2 linked regions of the Callithrix jacchus genome follow. The protein of the gene in region 1 purifies or fractionates together with the protein of each later gene. This does not show direct contact. Links are inferred from orthologs where the notes say so. Each region holds a gene or a part of one and is shown on either strand. Other genes may lie near its edges.

The links. The genes of interacting proteins can lie anywhere in the genome.
Region 2: the proteins of HADHA (region 1) and GPC1 purify together in Homo sapiens (co-immunoprecipitation; 3 studies listed by BioGRID and IntAct, with this or other methods). This does not show direct contact. The link is inferred for Callithrix jacchus from reciprocal best matches to the Homo sapiens genes HADHA and GPC1.

What each region holds. Positions count from the first base shown.
Region 1 is NC_133515.1:89,079,292-89,082,802, forward strand, and holds part of HADHA (trifunctional enzyme subunit alpha, mitochondrial), read right to left. Parts: intron 2,702-3,511; coding exon 2,530-2,701; intron 1-2,529. UniProt on the Homo sapiens protein: Mitochondrial trifunctional enzyme catalyzes the last three of the four reactions of the mitochondrial beta-oxidation pathway.
Region 2 is NC_133507.1:161,719,728-161,723,870, reverse strand, and holds the start of GPC1 (glypican-1), read right to left. Parts: upstream 2,802-4,143; 5' UTR 2,576-2,801; coding exon 2,410-2,575; intron 1-2,409. UniProt on the Homo sapiens protein: Cell surface proteoglycan that bears heparan sulfate. Binds, via the heparan sulfate side chains, alpha-4 (V) collagen and participates in Schwann cell myelination.

The DNA of each region.
Region 1 (3,511 bases):
GTGTCAGGTTACTTTCTTAGTAGTATTGTGTCTAATGCTGGTGGTAAAATCCTTTCTGAAGAGCAAATTAATGTCTCTAAAGCTGGCGGGCAAAAATTCTGCCCTTCCCTGGACATATACATCTCTTCTCCCAGCTAGAAGTAGAATCTGTTTCCCTTCTCCCTGAATCTGAGCTGGTCCTGTGACTTGTTTTTATCAACAGAATGCGGCAGAAGTTACCTTGCCAGTTCCAGGTCTACCTAGCTCTGTGAAGCTCAGTCTTCTTTTTTTATCTTTTAAATTATTTATCTTTTTTTCTTCCTAACAATAAACTTAGGAAGCTCAGTAGCTTCTGCTTTTGTTCTCTCAGAAGCACGCAGCAAAATGCAAAGTTCTGGTAAGATGCTAAGTGAGGACAGGCCAGGAGAGATGTGGCGGAAGCAGTGAAGTGCCCAAGCCAGCTTCCAGTGGAATGCAGTCCCAGGAGTGACCCCAGCCCTGAAATTAATGGACTTAAGCACCAGCTGTCTCTGCAGAGCCCTGCCAGGATTGCAGAATTATGAAAAGACAGTTGTAAACACAGCAGAAGAACACCAAGACATACGAAGATACTAGAGAGGATAACTGAAATGGAGTGGTCTAGAGTTAATGTCTGTGGAAGAATGTTCAAAGAAATGGGTTTTGTTAGTTCTATGGGCAATAAGAGAAGATAATTGTTTGTTTGTTTGTTTATTTTTTGAGATGGAGTCTTGCTTTGTCGCCCAGGCTGGAGTGCAGTGGTGTGATCTCAGCTCACTGCAACCTCCGCGATTCTCCTGCCTCAGCCTCCTGAGTAGCTGGGATTATATAGGCGTGCGCCACCACCCTTGTCTCTTCCTTCTCCTTGTCTGCTGGGTTCTGTATCATCTCCTTGCTGCCTTTAACTTCACTTTATGTTTCAGTTGTGACTATTACCTTGATTGGTTTCTAGTCTACCCTTCTCTTGATTTGATCCCTCTTCTTTTTTCTTTGACCACTGGCATCCCAACAGCTAAAACTAAAAAAACTTTTCTTTTTTTTTTGAGTCGGAGTCTCACTCTGTTGCCCAGGCTGGACTGCAGTGGCACAATCTCAGCTCACTGCAGCCTCCTCCTCCTCCCTGGTTGAAGACATTCTCCTGCCTCAGCCTCCCAAGTAGCTAGGACTACAGGTGTGCACCACCAAAAATTAGCCCAGCTAGTTTTTTTATTTTTAGTAGACACAGGGTTTCACCATGTTGGTTAGGGTAGTCCCAAACTCCTGACCTCAGGTGATCCTTCCGCCTCCGGCTCCCAAAATGTTGGGATTACAAGCGTGAGCCACTATGTCCAGACAACTTTTCTCTATTCTGATCCTCCCAAAGCCAGATTTCCCAAAAGCAAATACCATGTCCTAGTCAGTAAGTGCTCTTCTCTCCACCGTGGCTGTGTCTGCTTTTGATGCTTCTAGAATCTACCTACCATTGCAGTGCCCTCAAAGCCCCAGGAACATCGTCTAGATGTCTAAGTTGAAATGCCATCTAGCACAGATGGAACACAGATCCACCAACCTCATCTGAACTTTCTCCCTCACTTGCCTAAGGAAAAGATTTTGGAATGTGTGTCTCACAAGGGGAACATGTCCCCAACAGAGCTGCTCATCCTTAATTTTTAAACCCCCTTAGGTTCAGACTTTTTTTTTTTTTGAGACAGGGTCTTGCTCTGTTTCCTGGTCTGGTCTTAAACTCCTGGTCTCAAGTGATCCTCTTGCCTTGGCCTCCCAAGTGCTAGGATTACAGGCATGAGCCATCATGCCTGGCCTTAAATTCAGTCTTAGTGGAGTATGGACCGTCCTCACATGGAGGGCATCTTAAGAGTACCACCTACTTCCTCGCAGCTCACTGCTCATTACACCCAGCATGTTGCCAAGTCAGAATCATTTCATGTTCATCTTTTAGTAACCCACATTCTGCTTATCCAACTGTAGACTAGTTTAGGTGTCGGTCCTACCTCATGCCTGAATTACTGCCATTACTACTTCTTGGGGCTCACTCTTCCTACTACCCACTTTAAGTACTTGTTTTGTTCATGTCAGCCCATTTCAAGAAGTGGTTATGGAGAACATTTGGGAGCTGGGCCAAAGCAGCATTTCCACAGAACAAGCATCTGGAGGAACTGTCCTCCCTATTTCCTTTGCAGCCTTAGACCTGAAGAGGTTTGGCTTTGGCTTGCAGCTAACCAAAAAAATCTTAAAGCATCTGGCTGTCCTCCATGAGGTCATCTATATGTTTGGGTGGCAGAGCTCCTACATGAATAAGGTGAACGAATCCTGTGCTTATGGTAATAAACTACTTAATTTTCTTCCTTTAGGATTTAGACTTGACCTTTATAACATATGCAGTGTGCATGAGCACACATAAAAACTGAACTTTGATAACAAATAGTCCTTTTTATAAAAGCAGCCATGAGTTTCCTATAGCTCCTTTTAAAAAAACCCACCTCAGTGTTTTTTGCTCACTACACTAGAATTCAAGTACAGCAGCCCCTTGCTTACCGCTTCTACTTCCTTTAGCACTCTGTGCTTAAGACTAAGGTCCTCAAACACAGCTTCAATAACCATGTCGGCCTTTTCAAAACCTTGGTAATCAAGCTGCCCAGTCAAGTTGCTGAAGATGGAATCCCTTTCAAATGATGTTAGAGCTTTCTTCTTCACTTTATCATTCAATCTAGAAGAAACACATTCCTAGTTAGATGGGAAGAAAAGAAAACTAACATTTATTGAGTGTCCATAGGCCACAGTACGCATGTGTTCTTCACCAACTCTGTGAAGTAGTTGTTCTATTGCCCTTATTAAGAGAGAGATTTCGAAGTTGTTTAAAGAGTCTCAGAGGGACCTCTGGTCAAATAGCTTGATAAGGGAGGGTGCTAGAATTCGAAGACATGTTAACCCCCAAGTGCATACTCTCTCTACTACAGAATGCCTCCAAATGCCCAACTTACATAAACTAAATCACTCTTAAAGCAGTTCAATTTGCTGAGAAGAGTAAACAACATGAATACTAGAATGGCAAAACAAAAGAGCAGCTCTGATAATTCTCTACCTATGACAGGGGAAGCAGCTCAAGTGTGTGTTTGAGACCACATGGTTGAATATTTGTTTATAGCAAATATATAATTTTATGTTATTCTGTATTATTATAATCTTCTAAAGTGCAGAAACCAAGCATTATTTCCTATATTCTCTATCTACTTCCCACTCATTAGCTAGTAACACATTGCACTGATTACATAAAATATTAACTCAAGGTTTCTTTTTTCCCATAGGGAGTGGAAAAGGATTCCTGCTTTTTAGACATTTAACTGATTATTTTTCATTGCAAAGGGAAACAGGCTTTCTTAGATTCCATCTGACCATACTTTCAGAATAAACCACTAGAGTTTTCCTCTAAATGAAGAATGAAGCTAAACCCCATTCACTAATTTCCCTAACCAAAAGAAAAACTAGGGCCACAAGATAAATACAAAGGAATATTCAA
Region 2 (4,143 bases), on another chromosome or scaffold:
AGGAGGTCCCCCTGGAGAAGTCCAGATGCAGGAGAGAGAGGACTGAGTATGGTGCCCACCAGGCCACTGAGGGTCCAGGGCTCCTGGGAGGATCTGCCACCCAGGGGCCACCAGAGGGCGCCCAGCCCTCGGAGCTCAGGCGCAGCAACAGAGCAGGAGGGGACACTGGGCTTGGCAGCCCCAGGACTGCTGCGGCTGGAGAGGATCACCCTGTTTCCCTCGGCCCACGTGGCTCCCATGTTCTCTTCTGTACCCTGGGCCCCGAAGGTGACTCCCCACCTCTGCAGCCATAGGGGGTCCAGGGAAAGCAGCTCCAGGCGGAAGAGCACCGGCTGGAGACGTGCTAACCCTGAGCAGTGCAGGCCTGCAGGAGGCTGGCGCCCCGGACCCTGGCAGCAGGCAATGGCCACTGGCTAGCATCATGCTTAGACAGCTGCAGGGTGTTCAAACTTCCTATGAGGGGTGGACAGCACCCCCGCCACCAGACACAGAGAAACCAACACAGTCTGCCTGTCCCGGGTCCCTCAGCCACTGCATTCCCCAACCCAAGGGCCGAAAGATCTGTGCTCTGTGGCCCGGCCCACGTCAACTTCTCCATCTTGTCCTGCCCTCTCTTCTCACCCTTGGAAGATGGCCAAACTGTGCCACTCTGTCTCTCTAACTGGGAGTAGTGGCCTCTGGATGCAAGGATAGGTTAGCTCCTAAGGACGCGACTGCCCAGAGGACATGGAGGTGCTAAAAAGGGCCGGGTTCAAGACTCTCGGTTGGGAGGGGCAGCTGCTCAGCCACCCTGCCACCCTGGTGGCCAGGGAGGGATTCACTGGGAAGGCCAAGGATGCCTCTTTGTGTGTGGGAAGGGGGGGGCAGGGCACGAACCCAACAGAGCTCAGGGCTTTGTGCTGTCTGGCACCCAGGGTGCCCCCCACCTGGGACAGAGCCCAGTGGGGTGAGAGAGGCAGCCTGGAAATAAAAGGGTTGCCTCTGCAGAGAGGGGCACAGGAAGGCCTGTCCTGGGGCTTTGGAGGGGTCCTTGCAGAGCCTCAGGCTGGGAAAAGGGCATGGGGACATCCACCAAGGGGCTGTCTGCTGGTTCTGTTCCTCCTGGGGGGGGGCAGGGGGTCCTCTCTCACAAGAACCTCAGCCTGGGGACATCAGAAGATCCGCCAAGGGGCTGTCTGTGGGTTCTGTTCCTCCCGGAGGGGCAGGGGTCCAGAGCCCGGCTGCCTCCTTCCTACCCTCTCCTATCCCCCGCAGCAAGGTATGGTCACAGACCCCCCTCACCGGGACGCACTGTTACTTCTTGCTCAGAATCCCCGGGCCGTGGGCATTCCTGCGCTGAGTCCCCATCTGACTGGCCTCCACCCACACTCCCGCTCCCTGGTTTCAGAGGAGCCCGCCCCCCCCCCCCCGAAAAGAAATCTGTTCTGTTCTTGCCCACTAGGTCCCTGACACCGGGTACAGGTCCAGGGTGGTCCCCACACGTGGGAGAGTGAAGCTTGGGCTCCAAGAGGTCTTCAGAACACTGAGCCACCGGTACACGTCGGTCCCCAGAGCTCCTCCGGGCCACAGGAATGGAAGAGGCAGAGCCGCAGGCGGCTGCAGGGCTTAGGGGGCGCCAGGAGGACCGCTGTTCTTACAAAGAAATGACACGGCCCCTGGGCGGGATCCAACGCGCCGACCACCTGCAGCTGGACTCGCAGCGCGAGGCCGCCCAAGTGCCAGGCGGGGGCCAGCGCGCACAAGTTCTTGGGTAGGAATCCCTTCGAGGCGGCGGCGTTCCGCCCGCAGAGAAGCGCCCAGCTCCCTCCCCGCCCCTCCGCAAGGCCCCCTCCCCGCTGCAGGGGGTCCGCTTATAAAACCCACCCAGGCTGCGCCGGGGACCCTACAAGAATCCCCGAGCGGGACCGAGACGCCTCCCAGAGAGGGCTGAACAGAGGAGAGGGGGTCCGCGCTGCCCCGAAGCCGACCCGGGGGCTGGGACTCCCGGCCGGCAGGCGCGCTGGGCCGAGCGGCGGGCAGAAGACGCCCAGCTCCAGCCGTGGGCCGGGAGGAGCGCCCAGAGCCAGCCGGGGACCGCCCGGCCCGCAGCCCGGCGAGAACAGCTCGGCGGGGAAGGGGCCGGCGTGCGGGGGGCGGGGAGGGGCGGGGGACGCCCGAGCGGAGCGGAGGGGACCCAGGAGAGGGAGGCGGCGCGGGGCTCGGAGGCAAGGCCGTGGGTCTGCGGAGGAGCCGCGGCGCAGGGGGCCACTCGGAGCCGGGCGGCGGGGCGCAGGCGGCAGGATCCCGCGCCGGGGGCGAGAAACCGTGTCGGGAAGAGCAGGGAGGAGAGCAGGGGGCGCAGAGGAGATCCCGGGCGCGCGGAGGTCCGGAGCCCGAAGCCCGAGGTCCCCGCGCCGCGCCCTCACTCACCCGAGATCTCAGCCTGGGGCACGTCGCTCAGGCTGAAGCCCTTGGCTCCGTAGATCTGGCGGACCTCGCTGCAGCTCCGGCTCTTGCTGGCCGGGTCCCCGCGGGCGCAGGCGACCACCGCGGCGGCCGCGCACAGCAGCCACCAGCCTCGGGCCCGGAGCTCCATGGCGGGGCCGGCGGCGCCCCCGGGCCCCCACCCGCGCCTCTCCCGGATCCCGGCCGGGCCCTGCGCAGCTCCCGTCCGCGAAGGGCAGAGCCAAGGTCCCGGTGCGCGCGGCTCGCGGTCCAGAGGCGGCGGCGGCCGAGGAGGCGGAGACAACAAAAGCCGGCGGTGGCGCGGAGCGCGCGGGGCGCGAGGTCCGGCTGCTCGTTCGGGCAGCCCAGAGCGCAGCGGGCGAGCGCAGTCCCGGCTCGGCACCTCCCCCGCCGCCGGCCCGGCCCCTCGGCGGCCGCGGGAGAGGGGCGGGGCGGGAGCGCAGGGGCGGGGGAAGGACTGGGAGCACCCGGCAGGGCGGGGCGGGGCGCGGCGCGGGGGCGCGAGCCGGGGCGCACCGGGCGCTCCTTCGGCTCTCGGGGGCCCTGAGGGCCGCGCCGGCCGCGCGACTCTATCGATCCCCGGAGGGAGGCGGCAGAGCCAGCCTGAGAGCGCGGGGCGGTGGCCGGGGTCCCGTAGGGCAGGCCCCCACGCCCAGCGCCCGGGGCGGTGGCACCACCTGTGGGGGCGGGGACGGGGGCGGAGGGTGCGCGAGGCAGGGCTTCCCCCGCCGGACGTGACATCACGCCTCCCGCGCCCCAATCAGGGGCTTCCCCGCCCCCCGCCGAATTCGGCATCCCGCTCCCGGCTCCCCGCTCCCTCCCGCGCGCTCCGGCTTCCTGCACCCCGGCTGCGCGCCTCGCGATCGCCCTCCCGGCGCCTCCGTCCCCTCCGCCCGCCGGTCGCGCCCCTCTCCTTGCCGGCACCCCGTAGCGGCCCCCTTCCCGCGGTCTCGCGCGGGGCTCCGTCTCACACCTGGGGTGTTTGTGGTGTGGGGGCTAGACGCAGGAAACTGGCCAAGAAACTGACCTCACGTCTCCCAGTCCCAGGGAGTGGCAACAGATGACTTAGTTGTTGGACGTTGGCAGCTGTTTTGGGGGGTGACCCTCCACGTTCTTTGGATGCTGGAGAAGCCGCAGTGATAGGGCAGGGCTGGTCTACTGGTTTGGGCTTCTGGGTGGGGCCAGGTGACCTCTGGAGAAGGAATAGGGTCCGAACCGGAGAAAGCTAGGTCATGGGGGAGGAGGGTGCAGTGACCCGGAGCGCTTGCCTCTTTGAGGAAGGACTGCCGGCACCTTGTACGGTGGGAGGGCGCGTGGCTTTAGCCGCACAGGGGGAGCTGGCCTGGACGGGGCTGCGGGGAGCGGCGAGGACGGCTGTGTTGAGGTCTGGAGGGCTTCGCTTGGCTCCTTACTTGGCTCCCAGAGCCCCCACCCGGTCCCCTGCTCTCCTCGTGGTAAGGCCTGGTGGTGAAGTCAGATGCCTGACCTGCAGAATTGGGGGCAGGCATAGAGGTCGGCAGCCTTGACTGAGAACCTCTAGATGACCCCCATGTGCAGCAGGGGTGCCTGGATTTCGCCGCTTGTGGCAACCCCTGGAAGCTGCAGCTGCCGTGGTGGGGGTGGGGCCAGCCTCCCCGTCCCCGTGCCTGGGGCTCTCAGCCATTATGGGGTCTGGAGCAGGATGGTGGGTCCCCTGCC